2 linked regions of the Oreochromis niloticus genome follow. The protein of the gene in region 2 interacts with the protein of the main gene of each other region in a pairwise test. Links are inferred from orthologs where the notes say so. Each region holds a gene or a part of one and is shown on either strand. Other genes may lie near its edges.

The links.
Region 1: the proteins of pex6 (region 2) and pex26 come close enough for resonance energy transfer, tested with the Homo sapiens proteins (2 studies listed by BioGRID). The link is inferred for Oreochromis niloticus from reciprocal best matches to the Homo sapiens genes PEX6 and PEX26.

The regions. Positions count from the first base shown.
Region 1 is NC_031981.2:14,333,496-14,349,704, forward strand, and holds pex26 (peroxisome assembly protein 26), read right to left. Parts: upstream 9,654-16,209; 5' UTR 9,587-9,653; exon of another isoform or gene 9,500-9,586; 5' UTR 9,486-9,499; coding exon 9,313-9,485; intron 9,227-9,312; coding exon 9,089-9,226; intron 7,872-9,088; coding exon 7,546-7,871; intron 7,445-7,545; coding exon 7,304-7,444; intron 7,200-7,303; coding exon 7,087-7,199; 3' UTR 5,855-7,086; downstream 1-5,854. Other genes in the region: usp18 (ubl carboxyl-terminal hydrolase 18), read right to left, coding at 853-896, 1,065-1,196, 1,277-1,438, 1,743-1,838, 2,281-2,415, 2,505-2,584, 2,662-2,804, 2,923-3,019 and 1 more; llph (protein LLP homolog), read left to right, coding at 10,880-11,096, 11,288-11,451; hcls1 (src substrate protein p85-like), read right to left, coding at 13,459-13,595, 13,827-13,895, 13,979-14,141. UniProt on the Homo sapiens protein: Peroxisomal docking factor that anchors PEX1 and PEX6 to peroxisome membranes. PEX26 is therefore required for the formation of the PEX1-PEX6 AAA ATPase complex, a complex that mediates the extraction of the PEX5 receptor from peroxisomal membrane.
Region 2 is NC_031971.2:3,734,955-3,751,163, forward strand, and holds the start of pex6 (peroxisome assembly factor 2), read right to left. Parts: upstream 8,144-16,209; coding exon 7,586-8,143; intron 7,013-7,585; coding exon 6,407-7,012; intron 5,197-6,406; coding exon 5,027-5,196; intron 4,939-5,026; coding exon 4,855-4,938; intron 4,134-4,854; coding exon 4,028-4,133; intron 1,469-4,027; coding exon 1,347-1,468; intron 1,193-1,346; coding exon 1,087-1,192; intron 945-1,086; coding exon 742-944; intron 453-741; coding exon 266-452; intron 1-265. Other genes in the region: galnt7 (N-acetylgalactosaminyltransferase 7), read right to left, coding at 14,793-14,899, 15,548-15,578, 15,758-15,886, 16,130-16,209. UniProt on the Homo sapiens protein: Component of the PEX1-PEX6 AAA ATPase complex, a protein dislocase complex that mediates the ATP-dependent extraction of the PEX5 receptor from peroxisomal membranes, an essential step for PEX5 recycling.

The sequences.
Region 1 (16,209 bases), on a different chromosome or scaffold from region 2:
TTTGCATCTGTAGGTGCAGCCATGCTGCAATTTATTTACACACAAAAACATACGACAAAAGACTTCTAATTCTAAAACTAGACATCACGTCCGATCCACACCTCAGTGACGCCTTTTTTCCAAAAACTAAGACCACAACCAGCGAAATGCTGAAAATGATGCTCTGAAATGCCTGACCTCATCGTGGCTACATCCTTCAGCCTGTGGTCTCTCCACACCTTCCTCTTTAAGAACAACACACTGACATTTTGACACAGTCATGAGGTAGATGAGACTTTTGATATCACTCTCACGTCTGTGCCGTATATACAAAGTTGAAAGAAGCTACTGGGATGTTTGTTCAGCAGTCGCCATCGTCATCTTGGCATTTCGAGGGTGGATCTGACTGAGAAACTGAGGGAAACCACACAGTCATATGGCAACAGCCTGTTAAAATAAAGCAGGCCTTCACTGTGACCATAACTTAAAAACCAACAGTCTGTTTTATTCAGTAAAGTAGAAAGTAGCACTAATGTCTCCAGGAAAGCGTTTCTAAAGTCTTTTTGCAACCAGGAGAGTCAAAATAGAGCAGATTTAAGGCACTTCAGTGCCCATCATTTATGTACAGTCTATTATTTATGTACTAAGTAGCTGGGAACAGTATGACACAAAAATCTAATGTTTTCAAAGTGTTACTACCTCCTTGCTCCAGATATTCAAACCAGAATCAGACTAACTGACTAGGTTAAAATGTATCCTCATTAAGCTTTGATGAGCCATTTCCAGCTGCCGTAGACAGCTTCAAGTTCATGAGTGTAAAACGTCTGAGAGGACTTCATGACCCCCTGTACAATCAGAAACTGGGCATTTTACCTCTGTCTTCCTCCATATGTTCTCTGCACTTCTTCCCAGGTAGTCTGTGGATTTGAATAAGAATCAGACAGAAGATTCATCAGAAATTTGCAATTCAAGAAGAAGCACAGAGGGAAAAAGTTACATCCCTCTCTCCCTTTGATATCTGCAGATACTTTCACATCTAACTGTATACTGTGATTATTTGTAATTATTTTTTAGATCTGATGTACCTGCTGTACGTGGCTATCATCTGCATAGTACCAGCACTTGTTCTCCCTGTGGCGGACGTAAGCAGTATAGTGCCCAAACATTGCATAACCACAGTGCACGACCACTGCGTACAAGGTGTACCTGCACTCATTCTGGAAGAAAAACAAATAAATAATCAGAGTATTCACAAGTAAAAGATGCAATATTCACGTAAAAAAGAATTCGGACGAACCTGTGCAAAGTTTCCGGAGAACACATGTTGGAGACTCTGGGAGAAATCAAAGGTTTCTGGGAAAGAAACCCTGCAGTCAAGTTTGCGGGTGGAACCGCGGCTGTTCCGAAATCGCTTCAGGTTCATGCACAAGATACGAGGCAGTGAGAGGAGTTTGACACCCTGAACAAAACAAATGAGTGAATTTGAGTTCATGTTCATGCTGGCAAATACGTTTCACCCACCCACTCTCATCCACTCAGCCCTTTAAATATGTTTTTTTTCCTCAAAGATATTTTTATGAGATTGAAGCAATGAAGAAAAACAGATACACACAGATTTGTTATACAACAAGCAAGTAGATTTCACAATGATTGTTTGAGCTGACATAATAGAATACAGATTAATGACGCATTCACACATCTTGTAATTGATTTCATCAGAGCCTTTTCAATGTGTTTGAGGAGGGTTTAAACCTGAGTCTCACCTGTCTGGATGGGTTCTTAGTTCCACAGTGTGCACAGAAGCAGGAGTTTATGCCCCTGAGCTCCTGATGCTCGAAGAAGGAGTTCATGCAGCCTTCCTGAAAATATGACAAATGTAACAAAATAAATAGTGACTAAAATAAACAGTGACAATGCAATACAGCTAAGGTTTGTAACCTAACAAGTCATATGTCATTCATTTGATCTTTTATGAGTGGTTCTGCTGGACTATTTGCTGGTGACTCTGATTTTTGTAATCCTAATAAACTTGTGCGTTTTCTCCCTTTTTACACTTGTGTTTTGTGTATTTATAACCCCCCCCATGTACTCCCCAGTTGGAAGTATTACATATTAAAATGCTGTATTTTACTACACCCATATGATTGGATCAGGATTGGCTAAAATCTTTGGCTTCAATAAGCTGTAAAAACTCGGGATTTTAAGATACGGCCTCCAATAAAAGGGAAAAAAATAGCAAACAGAGATAGTGTGTTTCCCAACAGTTTTAGTATTCTTAAACAAAAGAAGAAGAAGACCCACCAGAGAGTTGTCATCCTCCTTTACATAAAGCGGCAGGCTGAGCATGTAGCTGGTTTCGGTTTGGATGGAGTTGCACTTTAAACACTGCAGGTTCGTCTCCACTGAAATCTTGTACAGATCCTGAATTTCCCCAGCCTTTCAGAGAGGGCAAATGCAAACAAACACTGTTGTAGATAACACGTGCAGAAATGAATAATATTAGAGTAGTTTGATCGCAGTCCAACCAGAACTTTGTTGTCCATCTGCTGGTGAATGAAGTTGAGAATCGAGAGGAACACCTCATCTGCGTCATGCTGCACATTAACTGTAAAGCATCATTAGAAGGTATAAAATAAGACACATCGACAGGAGATATTTTCTCTGCAAAAGCGTGGCTCTTACGTCGAAAGTTGTTTTGGTCCAGACAGTGGAGGAAGTCACGATGTGGAGCGGGCTGAGGAAGGTCACCCCGCATGGCCTCAAGAACTCTCTTTAGATGCAGCGCGACATTATGAGCATCTCCTTTCGCACCAGCTACATCCCACCTTTTAAAATTCATAAAAGCTTGTTAATATTGTAAACAGCCTTAGGATTTCCACAATAAGTGGCGCTACAACATCACTGAGTCAAGATGAAAGCGGCTGTAGTAATTCATGTGATTACCTTTCTAGCAGTTCTGCTATTTCCCAGGTAACAGAGAAAGTCTGCAGCAAGCTGTTCACACAGCATGATAGACAATAATTGGAGAGGCCTCTCATCCCTGTAAGAGTAACAGGGGTTAAATAACAGCCTGTGACACCGTGAATCAACCCACCAGAGCACCAGCGGGTGTGTGCATGTGTAAAAATAAATAAAAATGGAAAAGCACAGTCAGCTGTGGAGAACCCCACATTTTTGATATATATTCTATTAAAATAGCAAATCATGGTTTTAAAGATCACTGAGCGTGAGGCTTGTTCGGTTTATTCGTTTTAGGCCCCGTGTTGAGCAGATGTATAGCAAGTTGACTTCATTTCACACAGACTCACGGTCAGTATTTTGGTTTCTGTGTCACTGAAATTTATGAGGTTTAAAGAGTTCCTTTGAGGTGCAGAGATCCTTTAAAGGTTTGTTAAACAACATTACCACCTCTTTAACAACCCAGTATGATAAATATGAGTAAATATGAACATGAATATGATCAGATAGCTGTCTGATCATATTCATAATCACACAATAAAGATCTTTTGTGAATGTTTTTGAATTTCTAGTCCTTTAATCTCGTGTTATTGGAGCAACATGTAATAAAAACATTGATTACGGTTTTTAGTCCAAAAACTAGTTTTAAAGTCATATTTCACAGTTAATGATTATTAGCATACTTTAAACAGATCAGCCAGTAAATAATTAGATTATACAGTCACCAGACACTTTATTAGGTACACCTTTTCAACTGCATGTTAACTCATATATCTGATCAGCCAATCACATGTTGGCAGCTCAGAGCATTTAGACATGTAGACGTGGTCGAGTCGACCTGCTGAAGTTGAAACGGAGTTACAGAGTGGGAAACAAAGGTGATTTTAGTGACTTTTAACATGGCATGGTTGTTAGTGTGTTTCAGAAACTGCTGATATACTGGGATTTTCCCACGCGGCCATCCCTAGAGTTTACAGAGAATGGTCTGTAAAGTTTGATGTCAGAGGTCATAAGAGAATGACCAGACTGCTTCAAGCTGATTAGAAGAGTAGAAACAGCAACTCAAATATTGACTAAAATTAGGTAACCAACATGAAACTGAGGCTATACTTCACACGCTTCACCAACATTGGACAATACATAACTGGAAAAACGTTTTCTAGTCAGATGAATCTTGATTTCTGCTGCATGAAAGCATGGCTTTATCCTGCCTGCCTTGTATCAACAGTTAAGGCTGCTGGTGGAGAGGGAGTGATATGGGGGGTATTGTCTTGGGCCTTTTTGGCCCTAAACACCACAGCCTACCTGAGTGTTGTTGCTGACCATGTCCATTTCTTAATGACAACAGTGTACCCATCTTCTGATACCTGCCTCCAGCAGGTTAACGCACCATGTCGCAAAGCTCAAATCATCTCAAACTGGTTTCTTGAACGTGACGATGAGTTCACTGTACTCAAATGGCCTCCACGGTCACCAGATCTCAATCCAGTAGAGCACCTTTGGGATGTGGTGGAACAGAGATTCCCATCATGGATGCAAAGCCAACAGATTTGGAGCAAATGTGCGATGCTGTCACGTGAGGAGTTTCCAGCGCCACCAAGGTGTACCTAATAAAGTGGCTGTGAGAGCATTTTTAGCACACTGTGCACTACATTGTTCATGACTGTTCATGACCGAGAAAGCACTACAGCTTTAGAAAGTTAACTGACTAAAAGAATTTCTCCTATCTGTGAATAAAACTTGACTTCAAAATTGTTCCGTTTTTATTTACTGTGACATTAATAACGAGTGCATCTACGACTCGTTGAGGAGCTTTAATCTTATTTAACAAGCATCTCGTGCATTTCGCTGAAGTAGGACCTTTAAACTAGTATTTATAGTTCTCAAGTAAACAGGAAATAATATAAAAGCATCACCATCGGGTTGAGAATGTTCCGCTTACCAAATAAGTGATTCACCAGAGTAAGTCTAGAAAAGCAATAGCAGATCCCAGCAGACATCAGTGCAGCCTTCTGCTCTTCTTCAGGCTCTCAGGACGGTCACTAAACCAACAGAGGGTCGAGCGTTTGTTGTACTTCACCCCACTGTAAACATCAGCGCCACAGAAACAGTTCCCAGCAACAGTTTCATTTTACAGCTTTCTCTTCGCTTTGCTGGAAACGAAACTCACAAACTGTCATGCGCAAACCGGCTGGAACTATGACGCCGGCGATCACGTCGGCGCTTATTAGCTACACAGCATTGGTGACACATGGGTCCAGATCATCTCCACAGTCACAGGCAGTACTCTGTACTCGAATACTCAAGTATTTCCACTGTGTGCAACTTAATAATAATACTTCTCACCTGTACCCAGGGGCGTGTCCAAAGAGGGGGGCAATGAGTGACCCCAGCCCCACTTTAAAAATGCGATTAAACTAATGTGACTTTCACTTAAAAAAAAAAAGACCCCTAATTTTTTTTTACATGCATGCAGAACTTTATGAATTACAGATAATATATTCTGATTTACTGCAGCACCACCTTTTCTAAACTTGAGGGACATGTACGTTTACCTGCACACTTTTATTCTACTTTTTTCGCTACTTGTAAGCTTTCAGAAAACAATTTAAACATTTAAATTTAAAACTGCTTAACAGTGCTGCATAAGATTAAATTTAATAGATCTTCACATAAATTAATTTCAAATTTCCACAACAGGAATATAAGATTATAAAAAAGTTTGTTTTTCCCTCTTTAAATTTTTACTGATGATACTTTTGGAAAGGCCTGACAGCATGTTAGGTAACCAGTTACTTAACTACCCATCCATCCATTTTAAAAAAAAAAAATAAGGTGACTGGATTCTGTCCTATCAAACACACGGTCACATCCACACATAGAATTCAAAATTATAATTCCAAATTGATTACCCTTTAAAAATTTAAGGTTCATTTATGAGAATTATCAATAAAATAATACATAAGAACAGTCACAGGGACACTTAAATGCAGAACAAATATCTTCACTTTTACATTGTAAGTGCATTTTCTTAAGATCCAATCCTGTGAAAAACTAAGTACAATCTGACAGCTTCCATTTGAATTAAGAGGGTAACATGTTGAAAATCAAATGCACTTGATTAATTGATCATGACCACTTCTATAAAAGCTGAGGTTTCGGCAGTTTGCTGGACTGGAGCATTCCGATGTGTTAACACAGCGCCAAGGAGGAAAAACTTCATCTCTGTCCATCTTTCACACCTATTAACGTTGTTGTCAAATGTCGTAATTGTGGAGGAAAGAGTTAAAAAAGTAACTGCGGCTTCCCATCGATCTGGAAAAGGTTATAGGGTCATTTCCAAACAATCTGAAGTCCATCATTTTGCAGTGAGAACAATTATTCACAACTGGAAAACATTCAAAGCAGTCGCCAATCTTCTCAGGAGTAAACGTCCCAGCAAATTCCAGACCCAGTGCTTGATCTTGGACGTGCAAACAAATACATCCAAGACTCTACCGGCCTCAGTTAGCATGTCAAGTGCAACACTTCTAAAAATGTCCTTTGGAGAGACGAGACCAAAGTGGCAATGTTTGGCTGTAATGCAGAGCACCATGTTTGTTGACAACCAGACACAGCATATCAGGACAAACACCTCATGTCATGCACAGTGGCAGAGGGGTCATGGTTTAGGCTTGTTTTGCAGCCACAGGACCTCAGCACATTGCAGTACACAAAACTTAAACTGACTATTATAACTATTGTTATAATCATTTAACAAATTTCAGATTCCTACAGTGATACACTGATTGCAACTGTTTTCTTACCCCTACTCATCATTCTAGGTACTCTGAACCAGAACAGTGAGTCACTTCCCAGACTTAAAAAAGGAAAAGAAAAAAAAAAAAAACACACATCAGACTCTTGATGATTCATGTGTTGCTTTGAGATGGACAAACAAAGGATGTATTAGTGAGGAGCTGGGGAGAATTTATGGGAAGCTGTGTCATGTGAGCTGAAGAGTCTGCAGCTTAAAAAAAAAGAAGCTATTTTCCTGGAATGAGGACGCTTTAAATGTTTTATAGATCTGACGTGAATATCATCCATGTTGTCTTACAAACAGTCCTTAGAGAATTCATTTAAAATGATAGACCTAGCATATTCAGTCCTCTACAGTCCTTTGCTCTGAGTGACTGCCTGATAATAGGGTGCAAACATGGCGTTCCACATCTGTTTGAGCAGCTGCAGAAGTTTCGAAATCCACATGAACGCAGACGGGAGAGCTGCAGGTAAAAAAAGCACAACAGAAACGCATTTACAGTCACTTTTATTTTAACTTCTAAAAGATGATGATGTACCAGTAGAACTAAGGAACATTTCACCCAACCTGGATCCATCCGAAAAAAGAGCATGTAGAGGAGGATGGCAGTCAGAAAGATTCTCCGGAAAGGGAATGAGCCAGAACCAATCATCAGGAGTTTTCGGTATAAAAACCTGATCACAGCCTCAAGTTTATGGACTAAAGTACCTGCAGAACAAAAGCAAAATCACAAACAGTTAACAGTTTCAGTCTTTTTTAGGCCGCTTGGCGTAATGCATCTCATAAGGGTTTAGGCTGAAGTGTCAGACCTTGGGATGAGACAGGATGTTCAGTGACGTCAGAGCTTCCACTCATCCTGGGATTTAGAGGAGGGTCTTGATTTTGTCGCTCTTTTTCTTCTATGATATCCAGCGCTGTCTGTCTGTGTTCTTCTGTGAAGGCGCTGCTAAAAACCTCGCCTCTGATCAGCTCCCGAGCCTCGTCTGCCTCTCTCAGCGGCACAAGGACATGCAGCAGGTACAGCTCTGCGACGGTCCTGAAGCTAGTCGCCCTGCTGTTGGACGGGTAGTGTAACCAGGCTCTGGTCACCTCCTGCATTACAGCAGGCTCACCCACCTTGGAGTAAAGAAGTATACTGCCAAAATGAGACACAAAATCACATTAGTAAGAATTTTATTGAATTTTTTAAAGAAAAAAAAATCCTAAATAGTTAATGCAATACTTTTCTTAACCCCTTATGTTAAAGCTTAAAGTCTACATGTGAGTCATATCTTGATCGTCTGACTTAAAATCCACTGTGTGATCATGTATATCTCTCAATTCTTTGTAAAACACAAACAAACACATCACCCCCTTTAGCAGAAATAAATTATTTTGGCTGTCCTGCACTCTTGTCCTTCAGTCTTTAATTCTGAAGGCACCACACATGTCATCATCAGTCCCAGAAGTCAGAGGTTAAAATAGGAAAGAGTTTCTAAGTATTGGCACAGTATCTGGGAACCTTGGCTCCAAATTTATGGATATCAGGGTGTGATAAATGTCTGTTTCGTTACTAGAAAAGGTCACTTTTATGTAGGATTTTTTTTGAGTTTATCACCCATTTCCAGTCGTTGTCCAAATATTTAAAAAAGCCAACCATTTTTCACTGGACCTACCCACTGACATAGTAGATTTGGGATTACAGTCTCCAATTTTGCCTGCTGCAGAGCTTTGGAGGGTATACATTTTGGACTTCACAGTTTTTCCTACAGATAAAGACCTCTTCCATAGCCATTCAGACCTCATCAAAGCAATTGAGTAATAAATAAAAGTTCACTTTTTCTTACACTTTGTACAACAGTGTGGGCTTTCACAAATGTGACCTCACTAGGTAAAAAAAATAATTAAAAAAAAATATGGCTCATCAAGTCAAAACTTCTAGTTTTATATTTATGGGACAGTCTGGGCAATGAGCTAGTGGAACTTGCTCTGTCATTTTACACATTTATTAATTTAAGCCTAAATAATTGTGATAACAGATGTCTTTTATTTACTACAAAAACATTTCTTTATCAAAAAAGGCTGAAGTCATTAATATAAGGTTTGATTATAACAGCACTCATAACAAATAATTAAATTTTATTTTCATTTTTAATTCATGATTAAGTTAATGGCGGATTAAATGTGCTGATTGAAAAAACATGTCTTGGAGAATTTGCATATTTGAACCCTAATACGATTTGTATTTTATACTTTATTTCATATTGTGTCCACCTGCCCAAAGGCTGGGGATCAATAGATCAGTGTCTAATAACAATAACAACAACAATAATAATAATAATAATGATAATGATAATGAAACTCTTTCCTCACCACATCTGCATGATCTTCGCTGGTATTTTCTCCTGCTCATACTGTTGCAGGACCCAGCAGAGGACATCACGCCACTGATTGAGCTCAGCCAGAGCCTGAATCCCTAAGATGCAGAAACCAGCCTTGAGCTCTGCACATCTGCAGGAACATTAAAGACGTTTGTGTTATAACACAAACATCCAAGCTTCCAGTTACACATGTGCGTGAAGCTTCAGGACCCTCACCTGCTGTCCTCGGGCTCCAGGCCATCGAGACTCTCCAGACCTCTGAGACATGTGTCAAAAGCCGCTTGGAAGTCTCTGTGCACCATCATTTGTTCTGCAGCCGACTCCAGCGTGTTGAACATCTGGGTCACAGCAGCAGAGAGCGGAGGGCTGGCGGCCTGGAAGCTGTTCATGACTCCCGGATGAACTTAAAACAAACCCAACAAACACTCAAAGGGTTTAAAGCACTTTAGCTTGCAGCTAAGCACGAAATTTTCCACAACGGTTTGTTTACCTTCCGTTTAGCTTCCTGGTATTAGTCCACTGTCCAATCAGAAGCCACAGTCTTCAGAATGTCCGAGGCAGCCAATCATATTGCAGCTCTTTCCAAAGCACGTGATTCATTTTTTCCCCAAGCTTCTAAACACGTGTGCGGAGTAGAAGAGTGTGTTGTTCACACAGTTTAAGCGTCAAGAAGCTCATCTGCTGCTTCTGTGGGAAGTAAGTCAGACTTGTATGTCATATAGTGGATTAATGATTACACCTGTATGAGTTTAATGAGGGAACGAGGCTATTTTTATGTGTTTTTAAGACTGGTGCCTCATTAGGAGTTGGGTAGCTAACTTGCTAGGCTTATTGTGACGGCCAGTATCGTGTAACTAAACGGAATTAACAGCATTTTACCATTTCTTTTTGGAGGGGGGTGGATGATGATGATGATGATGATGTTGATGATGTTAGTGCTGTAAATGTTCAACAGACCAAACGTTAAAGTTTATTACCGAAGCTGCTCATTCCCGTTTTGTTGAGGTTTAACAGCTCAGTGGATTCGCTAATCCTAACTTGCCTATAAAGTCCTTAGGTTTACGTTATTAATCATGGAAGGGAAATTGTAGTACTGCACGCGTCGGCCACTTTGTAAGGTACATCTGTTTACGATTCAGCCAGTCACGCGGCAGCAACTCGGTGGATTTAGTGAAATGTGAAAGAAAGGTGATGTAGGTGAGTTTGAATGCGGCATAGTTGTTGGTCTGAGTGTTTAAGAAGATGCTGATCTGCTGGGATTTTTTTAATATTTTTAATATCAGTGTTGGGTACTAGAGACCAGCTCAATGTTTATAGAGGTGTAGAAGAAGACAGTCTGAATGCGTGATCAGTTTTATTTAGACTTCTCTCCCAGGTTTATTTAACTTTATTAGTTAGTTTGTAAAGATGTTGCACAGTTTATTTTCATTGTTTTTTTGTTTTGTTAGTAGTATTACTAAAAAAACGTTATAAATGGATTTTTTTCATTCTACCTACACAAATAGGTGTCATATTTAAATGATATACATCGTCTTGACGTTCCTGAAAGTAAATCATAGATTAATTAAAATCCAAACATCCTCCTGAATCCTGGGCTTCAGCTCAGGTAGTGTGGAAGAAATCGGCAGTCATTGGCGAGACATGTCGCCTCAGACCATCCATTTGTCTTCACCGCTTGTTTTTACTGTTGCGTGGTGTATGGATACATGTGAAAGTCCTAAAAATTCGTGAACCCAAGTTTGCTTGACTGGTGATTTGTTAATGTGTTCGCAGCATCTTTAAAATGGCAAAAAGCCTTCGGAGTAAATGGAAGCGAAAGATGCGGGCAGAGAAGAGGAAGAAGAACGCTCCAAAGGAGCTGAATCGTCTGAAACAAGCTCTGACCCTTGATAAGAAAGGAGAAGTCGTCATGACTGACATGCAGGAGATCGCCACAGTGGTGCCAGCTGAGAAGATAAAGAAGCAGGCCGACGTTAACATGGAGGAGGCAGAACCTGATGGTAAGACAGTGAGCACCACAGTCAGCAGCCTTAATAGTTGTTGTTTTGATTTTTTGGGGGGGTTTTTTGTTTTTTTAAATTTCGAGGTGATGTCACACATTTTTCTGTGCCACATGTATCGTTTGCAAACATGAGGAAACCGCTTGTGAGCATGTTGAAGCCGTCCTCACTGCTGTGTGTCTGTGTTTCAGATGGGAAGATGGACATGGACAGCAAGCGCAACAAGAAAACTCTTCTGGATGAACATGGACAGTATCCGGCGTGGATGAGCCAGCGGCAGGCCAAGAAAATGAGGGGCAAACGATTGGGAAAGAAAGGTGGCAAGGGCAAGAAGAAGAAGAATGTTGCCTGGTAAACCACCAAACGGGAAGACCGTCATTTTAGCTATAAGACTCTGGAAGCTGAAACACAGCATCCTTTTGTGATAAGTGTTGTGTTTCTTAATTAAATTTCATTGTGTCTGGTGGATTTGAAGATTCCCGGGCTTTGCCACAGAGCCTGAGATCGTACAAAAGTTCACTGCAGAAACTGGTTTGTTCTCATGGAACAGCAAAACCCTCTCTGACTTGAGATCAGCGCACGGAAAACGTGTGTGTAGTGCGTCTGACTGCAGAAATGTGAGTGGTGCACGTGTATTCTCTGCCGCAAGTTAAGTCTCTAAACTCCCATAAAAAAATCTGTCCTATGATTTGTTCTGTTCATTTTCTTGACATCATGCAACTCCTGGAGGTGTGTCAAAAAAACAGAATTATTAGTATTTTAATATGATTTATAATTTCAATTGTTGTTTGTCATAACTTTAATTCATTATGCACATTCTTTACAATTACAGAACAGTGCAAAAGTGCATGGTGGATGCAGATGTGATGGTGCCGCTTTTATCGTGTACTTGTCCGGTTTCCTCTTTTTATGGACACACTGCATGCACAACATGCCAAGATATGCCGACAATCACCTCGTTGGTGCAAAACTCCTATTTCAAGCCCCTCACACTGTGTTATCTTTGGTGTTTTTCATACATTCAACTAAAGAAATGACAATAAATGATGTTTTTGGTGACAGACTAGTAAACACAACTTAAAATTAGTTCATTGCTAAGTTGTCTGTTATGTGTATACACATATCTTGAGTTAGGTGGGGGGGGGTTTTACGCTTGAATGATTCATAGGTCAGTGTTAAGCGTTTCAACAATCAAACAAATATTCCTCTGAAATGGTCGGGTACAATGACTGGGCTGAAAATGAGTTTAAAAAAAAGCAGCCGAAGTCAAGCACTTTTAAAAAAATTACAAGAAGGTCCGGCTCGTACAATATATTGAAAAGGAAAACGTTAACATTTCTTAAAATGTGCATCATAGGCTATGTCTATCATCTGGTGATTTATTTTTGCTATATCTGTGCAGCAGTGGCTGCTATGGAGGTATATCATAAAAGGCCAGACCTGTGTCTCCCCAGTTATAGCTCTGTTTCACCTGTCAGGTAACTGCCTAAACCGCTGCACAATAAAGTAACCTGTTTAATGCCGGTGCTTGGCCATAGTTAACGTGATACTGGCCTAATCTTTTTGCGAGGGTTTTCTACTTTTACTGTTTAGGGTTAGACAAAATGTTTTATTATCAATGTTGGCTTCTTATAATTTAATTTTGTAAACATGGGTAGAATAATGAAACGCATGTTCTCCAGCCATTATGGTTTGTGGCTGTGCATAGAGAAGATGACTTGGCCTGCATAGCTTTGAAGCTACTGTTTCACAGTAGAATACATATTAAGGATTTTCCTTCCCACACTTCATAATGCCTCCCTTTTTTTGTAATACTAACATAAACATGGTGTTATACTGATGAACATGCAACGTTTAAGTGCGCAAGAAATCATGCATAGCCCGCTGCAGAGTCGTTACATGTTTAAGGATTAATTATCACCTCACTTATCACTGTGTCCAAACACCAAGATGGCGATGGCTAAAATGATCAGCTGGTGCTCCACAAAACAGTGTTTTTAGGTCAGTGTAACCGCATCAGAGGAAAGACAAAACACAGGTTGCCAGGAGGATTTTATTAGAATAGCAGAGCCATTTCAGGTCATGACTGTGATTACATTGGTAAATAAAAATCCAGTGAAAGAAATGAAGAATAAGGTCATATACCCTCAGTTCCTTGCAGAGGTGTACATGTTTGCTTCTGATCAGGATTGGCCTGATGCTTTTCCAGTCGGCACATTCAAAGCGAAATATTACACAAATCAACTGATTTAAAAAATTTGCTCTGATTTGATTGTTAAATACAAATTCCTCCCTCTGTTCAACAATATTGAAGTTTGTTTAAGTGAAGCTTGTGCAAAAATAGACTTTGGGAGCGTGTTGCTCACTCGATCAGCTGAACGTAAGCAGCCGGGAACAGACCGGTACGTCCGTGACACTGTCCCTTCCACCAGCCCTCATCAATCATCTCTATGTTGTGGATTATGTCGTCTGGATTGAAGGAGATCTCGTCATCGGCCTCTGTGTGAAAAAAGAAAAGCAAAGGATTTATCCTCACATTTAAGCACTTGTGTCACCGCGTCAAAGGCCAAAGGAACACCTGTGCTCACGATCCCCTTTCAGTGTGTAAACAAGGCAAACCAAAGTAGCCCAGATCAGCTATTCCACAATGAGTACTGAATGTGTAGGTGTGACATTTATATGTGCACAAGGTCACATTTATCATGAAACATAGAAAATGGAGAGTCTTACCTCCCTGATAGTCATAAATTGCAATTGCCTTCTGGCCACATGTCAGGTCTTCATAGTCGTTATCGTCAGCTGGGAGATAAAATATGCGAGATTAATGATCAGTAGCCACGAAAGGGGTCCTGATTAACTCACGGCTTTGCTTAGAGGCACACCTTTACGCTGAGGAGGAGGAGGAGGGGGATGACCGATGTCTTCATACTCTCCACCATCATCATCCACTTCTATTGACCTTTCAGGCAGAGGAGGGGCGCCCGGTTCCTCAAAATCGTCCGATCGTGGTGGCAAGGCCGGGGGCTCCTCGTATTCTGGTTCCTCCTGAAAACAGCAATGCTCAAAGTCACCGATTTCAAATCCTGGAGGTGAGCTGAGATGAGTCCCAGTAGCATGCCAGTATTATATTTAGAGCTAAACATCTGAATTTTGAGATGGACAAAGGGATAATTTGGGAAAAATATGCTGTAATCTTAAATTTACTTCTGGAACCAACTCTTTCTGTTCATCACCCATCTTTAAATGTCTCCAGGTGCTGATTTAGGCTGTTATTTTATTTATTCCTTTATATTTTAATTTGGGCTCCTTTAAAAAGCCATGTCTTTGTTCCATAATGTCCGGCATCTGTATAAAATCTAACATAAGGCCAACTTACTTATCTTAGCTTCTTAAAAAGGGATGAAAAACAACATTTAATGGGCTTCAATGACAATTTCCATCCTGCGGGTGCAAATGTCTGCATGTCGCTGTCTTTTAGACATTCATGTCCTCGGTGAGAAGCACTGGGACTGTGTGCAACAGGCAAAGGAGTGAAGTCACAAAGTACTGAGAGACGTTGAGTACTCAAAGGTAAATAAGTAGCACTTGTTTAAAATTTCAGGAGCAGGTTATCAAACGTGCTAACTTTTCAGTGTTGTGGCCTTCATCGTGGTGTGATGATGCTCTTCTGCTACCTTTGACTCATAAGTGGAGTTAGATAATTTGTAGTTAAGCGTCACAGGTGAGGATAATCAGAAAGGAACCCTTTCCAGAGACTGAATTAGGTTAGTTGCTGAGTTTTGGAGATATCAGCTGTGAAGATGTCTCTCTTTTTACAGCATTTTGCACCACATGGTATTTGCCTTTTTTGTTAAAAAAAAAAAACTAATAGCCTCAAAGTCTGCTGTAAACATTTTCACATAGGACCTATTTTCTTTCTGCTTTTCCACATCCACAAACCCAAAAAATTCTGCAGAATTATGTTACTACTGACCTGTGAATTGTCCAAGGATAAAAAAGGCACCTAACTCACCAATTAGGTGTCTACACGTAAAAGACAACTTGGTAAAGAACCAGTTTTAAATTGTGACTTTGCCTAAAAACACATTTGTCACAAAAACACATAATTTGTCTCCATTTCTTTAATGAATTTATGAAAAATTTCAAAGATAAGACAGTCTGACAGACTTGAATAGTATCTTTGTACCAAAAAGGTGATTCCCAAAGAGCTGTTAGCTAAAAACACAGAATATCTTGATAGTATGGTATGCAGCGTGTCCTTAAAAAATTTGAGGAAACTGGAAAAGTGGAGGGCAAAAGAAAAGAAGTGGCAGATCTAAACAACTATCTACAGCAGATGAACAGTATCTGAAATACCAGGATACCTGGATAAATCACAATGCACACAACCAAACACTATCAGTCATGGATTGGCATACATGCCAACCCCCCCCACCCCCACCCCCAATTTTTTCAGGAGAATCCCGAATTTCAGTGCCCCTCCCGAAAATCTCCCGGAGCCACCATTCTCCCGAATTTCTCCCGATTTTCCACCCGGAAACAAAATTGAAAAACCATATCCCAGCATGGCCCAGCCAATTCCAGTTTCCAACAATGGCTACTACTACTGCAGCTACTTAGTTTTAATATTACTCTTATTACTCTTTCTGGGTCACAAAATAAACTTTTAACATATTTTCAGGCGAGAATGTAGCTGTGTAAACTTCAAATATCTGAGCCGGCGAGAACAACGAGCTCCCGGCACATCGTTTTCAAACCCCCGCGGTCTTTTGCTACTCAGGTTAAACATGATATATAAGACACTTAGATAACTTAAACATGTTATTGTTTGGCCTTTTTCAGTGTTTTATTTGTTCGTGAGTAAATGGGTTTGGCTGAGATTAAAGTTATTAGATTAGATTTAATTAAATAAAACTTTATTAATCCCTCGGGAGGGTTCCTCCGGGGTTTTCACACAGCTGAATAAACGTCAAACAGAAAACTGATTAAACAGAAGTGTGAGACGGTCAAGAATTTATGCCAGTGTCCTGTTATATTTTAGATAGCAAGGAGCAGACGGCAGAGTTTCACTGCACCGAGAGAGCTTGTGACGTAATTCTGAAGGCTAGACCAT
Region 2 (16,209 bases):
CAGGAAGGGCAACCAGCATCGAAATCCAAATCCAACATGTGGATCCAACCAGCTGTGGCAACTCCTGAACACAGGAGCAGCTAGAAGAAGCTTTTAGGCTTTCATGGTTAGAAACAACCTGAAACCTTCCCCAGAGTAGCTTTACAAAGGTCTCTAATTTGGACCAACACAGCTGCCTAACATGTTTTCACCTGAACGGCTGAGCTTTAACGATAATCATTCTGCCCCAGTGGTGGTGTGAAGTAGAGTCGATGTCATTACGCACTGTGGTGAGTCTGGAGAGGTTCTCCAAGTTGACATCCTTCCCTAAGTGCAGGTCTCTGCTCAGGCTGGAAAGCATGGCACGCCGCTGCTCTTCAGTTGGACTCTCTATTGCTACCTGATGGACAAACGCTGCCATGATGCCTGCAGGCAAATCTCGAAGTTTGCAGACAGTTGCCACCATCACCACACTGAAAGATAACCACAGATACATTTCATTATATTCTGAGCCATGGCTCACACAGGAGACTTCCGGTTTGACTAAAAACACTTGTGCACGTCTCTGCTGCATGCTCTGAAGTAGAGCCGAGTGAAAGTGCAGCTGTTGGTGTGGCACCTAGTCAAACTCTGCGCTCCTGTAGTGGTGCATGGTTTACAGGTAGGGGATGTAATAAAAGGAAAGCTCATTTCATCAACATGATCACCTACTTGATAAGCTGGACCAGTGTATTTGAATGAGGGTTAGAGGCAGTCACTGACCTGGTGGGGGCACAGCTGAGCAGCTGGCAGAGCTTTGCCTGGACCCTGCAATCGCTCTCGGCAGCCCCTCGTGATCTGAGGACGAGCTGCAGGTTCCTGAGTAGCAGAACGCAGGGCTGCAGGGCCTCGGCCCTCTGAAACACTGACGCCAGCTTTACCTCAGAGGCTGCAGGACTGTCAGCGCACAGGCTCACACAGTCTACCTGCAAACGAGATACAACAGCAGCCAAACAATACGCTGCCTTTTATTTAAAGACAAAATATTCTCCTGCAGAGAGGAATTAAGAAGAATGTGCTGATGTCTAATTATCTTATGATTCTAAAACTTGAGCACGGCTGTTGTACCTTCAGCAGGTGGAGGTTTAGTCTGCCACTTGCTGCCCTCACTGCTGCCATCTTTCCACTTCCTGCAGCACCGTGAAGGAGGACAGTGCAACCAGACAGAGAGCTGCTGAGAGCAGACATGCAGCCAACATCAGCAGTGTGCCATCATGCATCCCTCTGTTACTGAACTAGGTTTGTTTATGTGAACTTCAAGCTCAGGTCCTATTGAGTTGTATTTTTCACTGCCTGCTGTTGTAAATCTGAGCAGACAGGTCGGTTACCTGTGCTGCAGGTGAGGCAGGATGGTGTCGATGAGGAGCTCCACAGTCTTGTTAAGGCCTGGAGGAGACAGAGCTGCTCCCTCCAGGAGAGAACATGGGACGGGGCTGTTTATAGATGTTCCCTGAGGAGATGGGGGGAAGCTGTCAGAGCAACAACGCTGACTAACAACAGCTTAGATTTAGAAAAGACTGCACCGTGAGTAAGATCCCTGCAAACAAACAGTCTCATTTACTTGCTGTGATAAATCAACAGTGCCTGCAACCCTGTTATCCCCGAGCTAAGGCAAATAAGGCAGAATATAAGAAGTGCAGGCACAGAGGACATGAAAGACACACACACATGAACGAGGGACAAAAATAATAATAAAACTGAGAAGGAAAGAAAAACTACAAAGACAGGAAACATGACAACAAAACACTGAAGATGGAAATGGAGATCAAATAAAGAAAAAACACAAAGATGTAGAAAAATTATCAAGCGAAAAAAGAAAAAAGACTTTCGGCACATTTTATAACAAAATACACACAACTCACGTTTCATCAGTGCATCTATTGTGAGTCAGGGCTCCCCTGAGCTAGCATCCTCAGACACAGCTAAGCTGCTGTCTGACACTTTGGGAAAAGAGCCTTTATTGGACAGATAGAGTGAAGACAGACATGAAGGCAGGGACACAGAGAGGGAAGCGGGTCGGACTCGAACCCACTGACTCTAAAAATGGGTTTATTCAACGGTTTAACTAAAGCATTGAGATCAGTTGGCTGACATGGCCACTAAACCATATCTGGAAAAACTCTAGTAGCTTTTACAGGATGTGTTACACTGAAGTATTCACCAATCAGTTTCACAGCATTCAGCTGCATCTGAGCAGACAGTCCAACCCTGTACACTTCAAAATGAATGGTAAACAGACTGATTCTTATATAGTGCTTTTCTACTCTCCCGGAGTACTCAAAGCGCTCTATACAACACGCCACATTCACCCAATCACAGCCATTCACACAAGCACTGTCTCTAAACTGAGTGCTTTCTAACTACATTCACACTCCAATGGATGCATCGGAGAGCAACTTGGGGTTCTTGCCAGGGACTGAACCACCAACTTTCCGATTAGTAGGCAACCTGTTCTACCTCCTGAGCTACAGCCACCCATAAATGCTACTTGGACCAGTAATCCCACAATCATTCATGAACATCAGTAACCCAGTTTCACTGGCAGCCATATCCAAAATAAGTATTGAACACATTACCAACTAAACGGATGTGTAAAAGTGCTGCTGTCCATAAATGTCCATACAAATGTCCATAAATGATGAAATGGCACGGGGAGACAGTACTGAACACATGAAGAAAGGGAGCTGCAAACAGGCACCAGCTGAACCCGATCAGTAATCAGAAAGCAACACTCAGTGCAGATATCAGCTGGTTCAGTCCCAACTGATGGCCTATAAAAAGGCGTCACACAAGAAATGATGGTCAGACCACTGAGCTCTCTCAAGACCTTCACAGCCTTTTTGTTGCAAACATACTGATGGCATCGCTTACAGAAGAATTTCTGAAGTGAGCACTGCTGGAGACCAGAACATCTAAAAACTCTCTCACTCGCTCTGTCTCGCTGCCGTTACCGTCACTCCCAAAACTCTCCCCTCTTCCTAAACAACCAAATCTCACGTGTTGACTTTTTTTTTTTTAATTGGTCGACATGGTGCATTTTTCCACCGATAGCAAAGAGGTGGCTTTTTTTCTTTCTTTACTGTTTTCGCGCTGTCCTTAGAAAACACTTAAAACACACACACACAAAAACGTGACGACAGTATTTAGAAAAAAGCGTGGCTTATATATATTATCATAACTCTGGATTTACTGGCCTGTAATTAAAATGTAAAAACTTTGAAGTCCGAACTTTCAGTGTGGGCTGAAATAGAGACTCAGCGTGGCTGCAGCTTGTTGCTGTGTCAGCTTACATCAGTCATGTGATTTGGAGGTGCAGCGTGTCCGTGGACCACAGAGGGTTAATAACACTCACCTTCCTTCCATTTCCAGAGTGTAACATCCAACCACCTGTGTAAAATCAGAAATTCCCATGGTGTTGTTCAAAATGTGCTCTGGCACAATCATAAGCATCGCTTGCTACTGAAAACAAGAAAAAAGCCGGTCCTGCTATGGGCTGAACCATTTGTTAATGGTGGAGGGGGGGGGACACTATGCAATATATTCAGTTTTAGCATTTATATTCACTGTTTGTATGCACTTGCCACCCCATGCCACCCTTCTAGATCCGCCCCTGATCAGCTCCCCATAAACTGGCCATGGCCAGCTGCTGCCCTCGGGATTTCAGACAGAGTGAAAAGAATTACTGAGAGTTGTCCAAGGGGCCGAGGGGCTGACATGTGGAGAGCCACAGAAAGACTAAGGACCTGCAGGTGCAATAGTTTCAAAGAAAACACAAGTAATCCACTCAACCATGACTTGTATGCACGTTCATCACACATAGCTGAAGGAAAAAGCGTGTTGAAGAGTGTTTAAAGTTAGCTGAAGAACATTTAGACAAGCCTGTGAAACACTGGTCTGGTCAGATGAGACCAAAATCAAAGTCTCTGGATCCAATAACACACCGCATGTTTGGAGCACACAGAGGAAATGAAATAAAGAAGAATGACTGAGGTTAGCTGTCACTGTTCACCAAATAGAGCGAGGTGTGCTGTCTGCTGGCCAAGTAAGCTCCTCCTCCTTCTTCTCTTCCTGCAGATGAGCACACCTTCTGCACCCTGAAGAACAGCACCGGACACCTGAAGACGTTCAGAGGAAACACACTTTTCACTGAACAGTCACAGACAGAGTGATGCAGTGCATTAGCTACGTCAGTCTGAGGTCAGTAAACAGTTTCTAACTGCAGCCGTCTCTGGTGCCCTCCAAATAACACACAGCATCCTCCACTGCACCAAAGAATAAAACAGTTAAACATTAGTTTTCTCTCGTCTGAGCTTTGTTGATTTACTCTTACAGAAATCTGATGATTATGATGGCCTAAATGAATCCACACCATGGAGTCACATTAACTGTCTGGGTCTTTGGTTGCTTAATAAGCTGTAGTGGGAGATTGCAGCCACTCCTCCTCCTCAGCCTGTTTCGACGAGAATTCAGAATTCATTTGAATTCATCTGATTTCTCAGGATTTTTCTGCCTATTGTTTAGAGCTCAGCTCAGACAAAATGGTTATTGTGGATGATTTTAACATTAATTTAGAAACTTAAAGCCTCAAAGTGGTTTTTGATCTATTAGACTCAATTTGCTTCTCTCCAAATGTAAATGAACCCACCCACCAATGTTGTTCTGACATTTAACAGTATTCTCGGAGAAACCTCGTCTGATCATTTTATTTATTAAAATGTTTGAATTATTTTTTCAAAAGCTTTGATCTTTAACAAAAAAAGGTGCTCCTAAGAAACACTGATCTGATTTAGGTAATGAGCATAAAGACTTGTGTTATTAACCAGTAGTAAGCGGCACCTGTGGATCCCCTCAGAGTGGGTCTCGAGCAGGTCTGGATGGTTTCCAGCTGGAACAGTCAGAACGTCTCCTGGTGACACCAGCCTGAAACGAGCCCGGACAAACTGCTGGAGTAAAACAGTGCTGCTTTCTTTCTACATGTTAAGGACACTGTTTGGATGCATCAGTCAACCTGGGAGTGCAGAAATGTTGAGCCAGCAGGTTGTCATAGCAGCCCAGGTTGTTGTAGAGTGGAGAGGTGACCGGCTGGATGTGGAGCTCGCTGGCATACGGTGGAGAAGCCAAGCGGCAGAACGTGTCAGAGCGGCAACCACCGGGCTGTGGAGGAGGGGGGTCCCATCTCTGAGACCAGACGAGAGACAGAAACAAAAATAAAAAACCAAACACTGACGATTTGCTGATGGGATGAAACTTTTTTTTTTTGGCTTCACAGCAAGAAGGTCCTGGGTTCAAATTCAGGATATTTATGGTGTGAAGTGTACAACCCTGAATAACTTTAAGAAGAAGGAAGGATCAAAACAGTTCAACTGATTAAAAATGAGTCTTCAACAAATATAAAATGCCTGCTGGTGCCAGCTATTACACCGACACTATATTTGAATGAATTTGGAATCCTGGAATATAATAAACTCTTCCAGATTAATGGATTATCAGACAATCAGACCTATACGAAAAGAGCGACCTTCAAAGGTCAGACGACTGGTGAACATTGGCACTAATGCAGTCTATCAGACAGCTGATTCCTCTGTGAGCGCCCGCTGAGCGCTGAAAACATTCGTGCTGTTGGTTAAACAGATATAAAGACACGCTGTGTTTCTTCTTAGTTTGGAACGTCTGGGTCTGAAAACACACAACTCTCCTGTCAGAGGTGCAGTGTGCTTTGAATTTAAAAACCTGATATTCGAATGTATCTGAGGAAACAGACTTGCTCACAGCTGTGCAGTAATTTATTTATCCGACTCTGCTGGATCCAGCTGGTGGCTGTGCTTATAGTTTTCCAAACACATGTTTCCAAGTTGAACATACTGTTTGTGGCCCATGTCTGGTAAGGATGAGCAAAAGGTTAATGATAGCAAGCAAACCCTGACTGGTTCATACTCTTACCTACTTCTTTTTTTTAAGTGCGGACCAACTAGAGAACAACGGGCCCGTGGGCACAGACGTGTTACGACGGGGCAACCAAGAATAAAACTGATAGACTGGGAGTTACCATGCACTTACTCTGAAAGTTCAGCCTGGCTCTCTCAGTCTTGGATGGGCTTACTGGTTAGGTGTTGTGGTTCCTGACATAATTTAACTGCCTCCTCACAGCAATGCACTCCTTGGCTGCAGCTGGTGACATTTCTTCTGCTCTGAAGACTCGCTGTGAGCTGGTGAGCTACTCTACATTCAACTGGTTTGCTCATCGAGGCTACGGAGCAGAACAAGGACGACTGCCACCAGGTGCAGTCCACCCACAATGCAAAAAACCCACTGTGCAGATGGCTAGCTAATCTGTTATCTGTTTACAGTTGCTTGTTTATTGAAGTGTTTGCAGAGTGTGTTAAAGCACCTTCATCCTGAGCATAAAGCTGTTCACAGGGATCACTTCTCCTTCAGTCATGTTGAACCACAGAGTAGGTGAGATGAGGCCCAGGTTGTCATGGCTCTGTAGTTCTGGACTTGGTGGCAGATCCATCACCACCACAGAGACCAGCCTCTCCCTGCAGATGGCCCCCGTGACATCGCCCTCTCCTATGGGTCCTCTGGATTCGCCGAGCTTCGACAGTCTTACCCACTCCTGGTTGAAAAGCCCCAGTCTGAGAAGCAGCTGTTTGGTCACAAACACACAACTGTCCAGATCCACGGCTACCCCGTGTTGTTCTTTGAGCTCGAGCCATCGCTGGGTGTCCATTACCCGAACTTCCACTCTGCATAGCAGTGGACACGGGACACCTGGGAACCCAGAATCCAGCACGCTCCTGTTATCAAGCAGACATGGGCCAGCACAAAGGCCATCAACGTAATGAGCAAAGTCTGACACACAGAGTCTGAGCGGCCTGCAGGGTGGGGGGGTGACTGAATCCCAGCAATCTGTCAGAACCAGAGACGTATCAGCTGTGATCCTCCCCTGTCTTACAGGACTGCACTCCAGCACCAGCAGCTCCAACAGCTGATGCTGCACCATGAACAGAAAACAGAAGCAAATCAGTCTGTATTCTCACATCTTCTCTATCATATCTCTATTTTGGAGCTGTAACAAGAAGCTGCTCAGTGAAAAATGATTCACTGCGATTATTAGAATCAGTGAATCGCTAAATTTAGAGCTTTGAACAAAACAAATAACATGCGTTTAAGTACTCAATCAGTCCTGCTCTTTGTCTTCAGCTGCCACATAAACATCAGACTATCAAAGATCCAAATGAGAGCATTGTGTTTAAAATATTAAAGGGCGGGCGAGATGGCCTCAGAATGATTTCACCATAATTCTAACATTTACAAGTGTAAGTAAATAAAGGGCCTTTTCCATCCTCGTCTTACTAATATGACGTGTGAATCTAAAGCAACAAGCATCACTACATGAGTCAAATATAAGTAAAACACGTAGGCTAACCTGCACTGTGGAAGTATCATAAACATTTGTTGCTAGTTAAAACAAACATTATCAGTTGAAAACAGAAACGATGTTTACAGCATTTCTTCACAGTGGGATTCTAAATCAGTGTGGGGACAATCTGGCTCTGAACATCACCTGTCCTGGGTCTTCTCCCAGGATTGTATGTCGGGGGAGCAGCAGCGGGTCTCCTTGCCGAGCCAGCAGCCAATGTCCCGGGCGGCAGAGTTCCAGCAACCTGTCGCTGAACTGCTCCGATCCAGCCAGGCGGAGGCTCTGCCTGCTGCGGGCTCCAACTACGACTCTGTCCAGGCTGACGGGCTCCATAGCTCGGACGGTTCCGGTACCTCTGAACTGCTGGAGCCCGTGGTGCCGCAGGAAAAGCCGGCTGGTAAAGAGCCGAACCCGTGGCGCTGACTCGGTGTTGGCTGTAGGACAGGTCACTCCGTCGGCCGTCTCTTCCTCGGTAGTTTGGTGAACACGCAGCAAAATGCCCGTCCTGCCGGAGCCCTGAGGCCCCTCAGGCGTGAAGAGGACGGTCGGCGGATCAGTGTCATTTAGGAAGACACGGTCCAAGTGTGGTTTTAACATCAAAACATCCAGAGGACTGAGGTGAGACGGGAAAGTCTCCAAATAACCCAGCTCAACCTGAACCGCCATAACTAATCTTCTTCGTTGCCTCTGCCGCTTCCTCATTACTGCGACCCAGCGGACGAGTAGAGGTACTACAAGAGAACCTGAGGACGAGCTCGATGCTTGGGTTTTCGTTTCTTTTCATTACATCTAACGATATACTGCCGTGTTGGGCAAGTTACTTTGAAAAAGTAATTAATTATAGTTACTAGTTACTTCTTCAAAAAAGTAACTGAGTTAGTAACTGAGTTACAAGATTCTAAAAGTAATTAATTACTTGAAAAGTAACTATTGTGTTACTTTAAAAAAAATGTTTAACCCTGTGGGGTCCAGGGTATAATTGGCCATTTTTAACTACTTTTGATTTTCCGTCTACATTTCACCTTTAAAAACTATTTACTTTGCCTTGTTTGGTATCATCCTTTTCAGCACAACCTCAAGTGTCTGAATTTAGTCATGTTTTGACATACTGTATTAACACAATTGATCCAAAATCAGAGTCTAAGGAGCTTGGAAAGAAAAGCGTCTGGACTTCTTTGAGTTGCTTGAAGACGTTTCACCTCTCATCCGAGAAGCTTCTTCAGTTCTAAGGTCAATTGGTGGGGAGTCCCAGATTTAAACCCAGTGGGAGTTTCCCCCCCAAAGAGGGACAAAGGACCCCCTGATGATCCTCTACCTAATCACATGAGCCAAGGTGTGAAAGCGGGTGTGGGTCCTAATCAGCCAGGGTTTCGGGTGAGCTCATTGTGAAACCTGGCCCCACCCTATCATGTGATTTCCTGAGGTCAGATGGCCCAGGATGTGAGTGGGCGTTAAGGCGTCTGGGAAGGGAACTCAAAACTGGATTATAGATGGCAGACAGTTGGTGTCGTAAACCACCACCTCTGTTCAAAGATGGTCGCTCACAGTGGACATAGATGGCTTCTTTCACTCCTCTTTCAAACCATCTGTCCTCTCTGTCCAAAATGTGAACATTGGCATCCTCGAAAGAGTGACCTTTGACCTTTAGATGCAGATGAACTGCTGAGTCTTGTCCTGTGGAGGTGGCTCTTCTATGTTGTGCCATGCGCTTGTGAAGTGGCTGTTTGGTCTCTCCGATGTAGAGGTCTGGGCATTCCTCACTGCACTGTACAGCATACACCACATTGTTAAGTTTGTGTTTAGGAGTTTTGTCTTTCGGGTGAACCAGTTTCTGTCTGAGTGTGTTGCTGGGTCTGAAGTACACTGGGATGTCGTGCTTGGAGAAAACTCTCCTGAGTTTCTCTGATACACCGGCTACATAGGGGATGACAATGTCTTCAAGCAACTCAAAGAAGTCCAGACGCTTTTCTTTCCAATCTCCTTAGACTACGATGACCTGGATGACTGAGAACCTTCACAGACATCTAAAATCAGACAAAAAAATGAGTAGAAAAAGTTATAATTTTTACTGTAACAACCACATACATGTTTATTGAATCATATTTCATAACTTTAAATGCAAATATAAATTGTCAATTTTAAAATCATATGCACATGTTTTGCAAACAACAATTTATATTTGCATTTAAAGTTATGAAATATGATTCATTGACATTTTACCCTTTTTAAATAACAATTTCAAACTATTTACAGAACAATCAGCTGTTCTTCAATAAGATGCCACACAAATTATTTGTGCCACTCCAAAAAAATCATTTCTGTCCACTATAAAGGAGAACATCACAGCCTGATACCTGCAGGTCTGACAGCAGCAGGTGTGTCACTCCTGTTTCTACCCGGAGACAGCAGTCGCCTCATTGTTCTGACACACAACACAACTATCCACAACACTACACACTAACTACACAAGACAACACATTAACTACACACTCCAAACACGCTAAACGTCACAAATCTCTCACATCTCAAAACTCGCTCTCTCTCTCTCCCTCGCCATCACTCCTAAAACTTCCCCCTCTTCTTAAACAACAAAATGTCATGTTGCCATATCATTTTTGATTGGTCGACATTGTGCATTTTTCTGCCAACATGAACAGGCTGATTTTGTTTTGTTTTGTTTCTTGTTTTTTGGTCATAAGCAGAGAGTGCTTGCTAGCGCTGTGCTTAGACGTTAAATGTGACGAAACTATTCATGAAAAAACGCCGCGTACATAGTGTTTATCATGACTCTGGTTTTACGTGGCCTATCAACACAATTTAAAAACTGGTATATATCACCTTGTTGCTTTGTCATCTTGAAGTGGTCATGTGATTGGCTTACCACGACTACTTTATTCTTCCTCAGTCAAACAGCAGGTGTTGTGCCAAAAAGTGATCGTCAGGCAGAAAGTGATTGCCGTCCGCTGTAGCGCCCAGATTACTTACAGCTACTTCCGTGCAGCTGATATAAGATGCAGTAAGCTAAACACAGCTTCAACCGTCTGTTTGTTGGAAAATACTAACGCGACCGCTCCGCATTTTCTTGTTAGTAACGGTAACGGCGTTGTAACGGTAGGAATAGTAGGTTACTCATTACTGAAAAAAGTAACGCCGTTATTTGTAACGCCGTTATTTCCATCACTGATACTGCCTACCACGAATTTACATTACACTGAAAAAATAATGGATTTCCTTTTTATGATTTTATGATGATTATTTGTCAATTAGTTATGTGAAAATGTAAATATGTGTCAAACTGTAAGAAATTCTTATGAGTAAAAGTGAATATTATCAGCACAATGTTCATGGAGGGGTACTGCAGAACACGCCGTGACTGACTCACAATACCATGGTGTGTGTGCTTCTCAAGGTTTTAAATACTTCATATAAAGATCGTTTAGCTATGTGGTGTCACCAGACAAATCTGGCAAAATGGAGAAAACCCCAGCAGCTGTTTTGGGACAATGGGAAGGAAAAACTCCCTTTTATCAGGAAGAAACCTTCAACACAAGCAGACTCAGAGAGGGATGGTCATCTGCCACGACTGGTTGGGAGTTACTGGAGGAAAAGCGGACAAAGACATGCTGTGGAAGAGTGCAGGAGATTATTAATAACTAATGCATAAATGCAGAGTTGTGTATAGACGCATAGTGAGTGAAAAAAGGTCAGTGTGGTTTAAGGATGTAGAATCTGTGTAGAATAGACCTCTCTGCACTGAATCACACTTGTTATTAATGTCTTCCTTCTCTCGTCCCAACCGGTCGCAGCAGATGGCCCCGCCCCTCCCTGAGCCTGGTTCTGCCGGAGTTTTTCATTCCCACTGTTGCCAAAGTGCTTGCTCATAGGGGGTCATATGATTGTAGGGACTACCTTACAATATAAAGCGCCTTGAGGTGACTGTTGTTGTGATTTGGCACTGTATAAATAAAATTGAATTGAATCTCTTTTGTTCAGTCATGTGATGCTATTTGAGCTGCAAAATGAGTTGCACAGGATTACTGAAGCATGAGGTATATCCAACTCATCTGATGCCTATTAAATGAAACCTTACCAGTGAAGGTAAGTTGTTGTTGTTTCATCATTGTTGCATCATTTTATTCATCTTCCTGATTTTGGATTATGGTGTTTGTGTTACAGACTGTAACATGCATCTCTTCTTTGATTGAAAATCCTGAATCAAAGACGCCCCCAAGCTACAGTTTCCCTCGGACACCCAAGTGGACAGTGTTGGGGAGTAACGGAATACATGTACCGCCGTTACGTATTCAGAATACAAAATATGAGTAACTGTATTCCGTTACAGTTACCGTTTAAAAAGGTGGTATTCAGAATACAGTTACTTTGTTGAAATAAATGGAATACACGGCGGTACTTTCCTGTTTCATATTGTCGCGGGTCAGACTGTTTGGGTTTGTTTGACAGCTACGTTCTGTTGTTCCAGGCGGCAGCGTTACGGTTGCCATGGTTACAGGGTGACGCGCTCTCTCTCTGCGTGTTTCCTGGGTGAGAGAGCGCTTTTTTGTTGTTGTTGTTGTGCTAAGCTAAAAGGCAGAATGCTACAGGCATAGCTCTAAAGCATGTAGCCTCATGGGCAGTGTAGTCCGTGCTGCAGGGAGAATGGACTGCCATACCCGTTATGTGTCTGTGAGCGAGGGAGGGAGAGAAAGGAAAAGTCCGAGCTGTCACGGAGCAAAAACGGGAGCTGGAAGCATGTAAATATAATAATAACCACTGCAGCCAAGAAGAGTGCCTGACGAGCCCAGTTGTAAGTAAGCTATTAAGACTCAACTGTACACTGTGTTCGTGTTTTCCTCCGGAAAAAATAAGTTCCGTTGGAGAAGCCTTTCAACGCCTTTCTCTGTCTCCCGCAAGCAAAGTTGACCCAGACAACAAAGTAAAGCTAGTTTTCGGCTACCAGCCCGATACGAACCCGACGTATTAGCCAGAGGTCCCTTTACTACGTTTCGGAGCCGCGGACCTTCAGTAACAGTAATAAATCACAGCAATAGGACATTCATGTAGTTGTAAACAGCACGATAATATATGAAGTAATCCAAAGTATTCAGAATACGTTACTCTCATTGAGTAACGTAACGGAATACGTTACAGAATACATTTTGGGGCATGTATTCAGTATTCTGTAGTGGAATACATTTTAAAAGTAACCTTCCCAACACTGCAAGTGGATCTACCCAACAGTATGTGATCCTCACAAGAAGTGATAGCATAGGTCTTCCACTTGGAGAAGAAGGGCTGACAAGCACAGAGGACAAGCTGGTCAAGATGTATTTGGTTTGCAACCTTGTTTATCCCGCCCAACTGCAGTCTGTCTTCTCATTTCTGGAGCACATCTATGAAATCCCCACATCCAGAGTTATTGCACTCATCTCTGTGTGGTACGCACCATTACAGTGTTTGGACCTACATAACAGGTTAACTATGACACAAGCAGTGAACACCTGTTTGGTGAAATAGTTCACATGCCTCCACAGTGTGAGCAGGTACAGGCACTGCTGTGTCACAGTTTTGTCAGCTGAATATTTTGATGATCCCTTCTATGTGTATGTGTCAGCTACAACTGATTTAATGTTGGCGACCTTTTAGATCAGAGACCACTGAGCCTGTTGTCATGATGCAGAATTTACTTTGATCCCCAAACTCTGCAGGTAATTCAAGCAATTTAATATTGTTTAATGGGCCAAGTTTATCATCACTGTTTAATCTTAATGACCTTACACAGGAGCATTTACAATTGTCTGTTAGTGTATTTTGTTGGGAAATTTAGGGGTTTTTTTCCTCTAAATCTTTTTTCTGTTTACTTTTTTCACAAAAAGAAATTATTCTTATTCTTTAAACAGAAAGAAGAGCAGAGAAAAAAGTGAAGCACACTGTACAGCCTGCAACACCGGACACATCCAACTGCAGCTCCACCCCTCCGTCTTGACACCTCTCGCCTTTCCTGCCCGACCTGCTTTAGACTGCAGGCTGTGTCACCACTTGCGTCCATAACCCTGCACATCTTTGGCCTGTGGGAGGGGTCGTATCCATAGTAACCTTGTTGCTGTGAGGCAAGATTATTGCACAGGTCTGATGAAGTAGTCCCACTTCAGTCACACAGTTACAGTAGTAAAAATCAGGTCATTTATTTCCTCAGCCCATATTATGAAATCTCTGCTATAAGTTAGCTATTTACAAGATCATTCAAGCCCTCCACAAAATTCATCACGATCATCTTTAGAAATGATTATTTACACAGTACAAAACATTGCATACGTGATCATCCAAACACTAAAGCCCCTCCCTGCTGCACACAAAACAAAAACATCTTTTCTTTTTTTTTTTTTTAAACCACAATAATTGTGCATTTTTTACATGTTAATAATCCTGCCCCCAACCCCACCCCCGATTATTACTGAGTCACAGTACTGGTCAGCTACTAAACTCTATATTCCTCATCCAGACTGTCGGTAAGACGGCGACCCACACATCCTTTAGAGTATCCCAGTGTATGTCAGAGAACAAATGAAGACCGTGAGGAGCAAAGCGCTAAAGTTCAGGAGTTCATGCTGGTTTGACAGCTCAGCACAGAGGAAGGAAATGCTGCCATGGCTTAGGGACACGAATGGGAGGAAATCCTTTTTCTTTGCCTTTTCAACATTTTGGTAAATGAAAATAAACTCACCAATTAGCCAAACTGAGCCTGTGCAATCAAAATCACACTTAGGCCAGATGAGGGGATTGTTTGTGAAGACTCCAATAAAACCAAATCAAAGCAAACACGACAGCAGCGAGTCATCACGTCCAAATATTCTTCAAAAATGTGCTGCTTCTCGCTCTTTTCCTCAGTTAAACTGAGGATCTTCTTCATCCTGGTCTTTTTTCAGCGGCAGACTAAAAACCACACCCATGATGATGATGATGATGATGATGATGATGATGATGATGATGATGATGCGACTGAAGTCTAAACTCTTTGGTAAGCGAGCTCATCAGTTTGGCTGAGGACTAAACAGACCTAATAATCTTAAGACTCGATGGGATTCATTTCACAAATGCAATGAGAAAATTAGAAAAGACCTGAGAGCCTGAAAGGACAGAGACAGTGTAAACAACCACCAGGGACAGTTTAGTGTTCATCCAGCAGCTCCGGATCACACTCTTCTTCTGGAGTGTCAGAACAACCTTCACATTTGGGCCGATGTCAACAGTTAAACCATTTGGGCTTCATTTTGTTGGAGGTACACCAACACCTGGGTGTCAGGTATTTTTCCTGTAAACGGATGGTAGGGACAGATCGCTCTCCCAGATGTCTTCACACAGCCACGATATTATTCATCTCCCATTTCTGAGTGGTTTTACTGGTGTCACAGTCTGATACGAACACTTTGTGAAGCAGGTCGGAGCGGTCCAGACATTTTCCTATAAGGAGAACACAGCAGCGGGATTATTGACGGACGCTCACAGGCCACCTACAAAACACACACCAGGGGTGGGGACCTCCAGGCCTCGAGGTCCTGCAGGTTTTAGACATCTCAGCTGGTTTAAGTGACCTCCTCAACATGTCTTGAAGTTCTCCAGAGGCCTAGTAATGAACTCATCATTACTAGGGTGAGATCTGAAACACACAGGCCCTCGAGGCCTGGAGGTCCCCACCCTTGGTCTACACACTAGTGCTGTTCACATGCAGTGAGGGACAACTGTGGGGAAGGCTGCCCTTCAGACTTTAACAATGATTGGTGTGGACACGATTATTACTGCTGTGAGCGTGCAGGGTGTCGCACTGCAGGGTAATGGAAAACCAAACCAGAACCTTCTGTGCTGGTCTGGTCTACATTCTGCCCAACACCCACACTGCAGGATGTAGACCAGACCAGAGCATGGGCAAAACATGAATGACGTGTGTGTGTGTGTGTGTGCGTGTGTATAAACTGGGACCAAAAGCCTCTGCACTTCTGAGGCTGCAGTAAATGATGCGAACAGCAGCTGACTCCATGTGTGATAATGGCAAAAGTGCCTTTGGTTAAATGATGAGAAAAGAGAAGTTAAAATGGCAGTGCAATTCTTTACCTGTTGGCACATGAGTGAATCGATGCAGATCCTGCAGACACAGACAGGAAAGGAGAGAAAAAAAAGGCAGTAAATTCAGTTTGTGTCAGATATTTTCTGCCTCCTACATGTTAGTGTGATCTCAGTGCTTCCAGTCTCCACACCCTGCTGAGCAAACATCTAAAGACCAACACTACATCCATCTTTTCTTATGATCTGTGTGTGTCTCACCTTGAAGTACTTCCACTCCATGTGCTGGTTCGTGTCACAGTGTGTGATGATGATAGCAGACTTGTCGCCTCCTATGGTCAGGCACTGATCATACTGCATCAGCTGGTTGGCTTCATTGATGCGGAACAGCTACACAGAGTTCAGGGTGAAAAACCAGAGTCAGGATCTTGGTGTGAGAGACTGGACACCTAACACAAAGCCTGCCTCCATCCTTTCTGTGACACGAGGCTCACGGGGAGACAAGGAACCCAAGCTTTCATCTACAGAAGCAGCCAACTGTCACTTTAACCCACTGATCACAGGAATACTGGCTCATGTCGTCAGACCAGATGAAAACAAAGAGCCACATCACATGTGACAGTGTTTAACTACCTGGTTTCCACCCATCCTGTGGCACGGGCCCAGCTCTACATTCCCTCCGTTAGTGTGTCCCATGCTGTCGATGCAGTAAC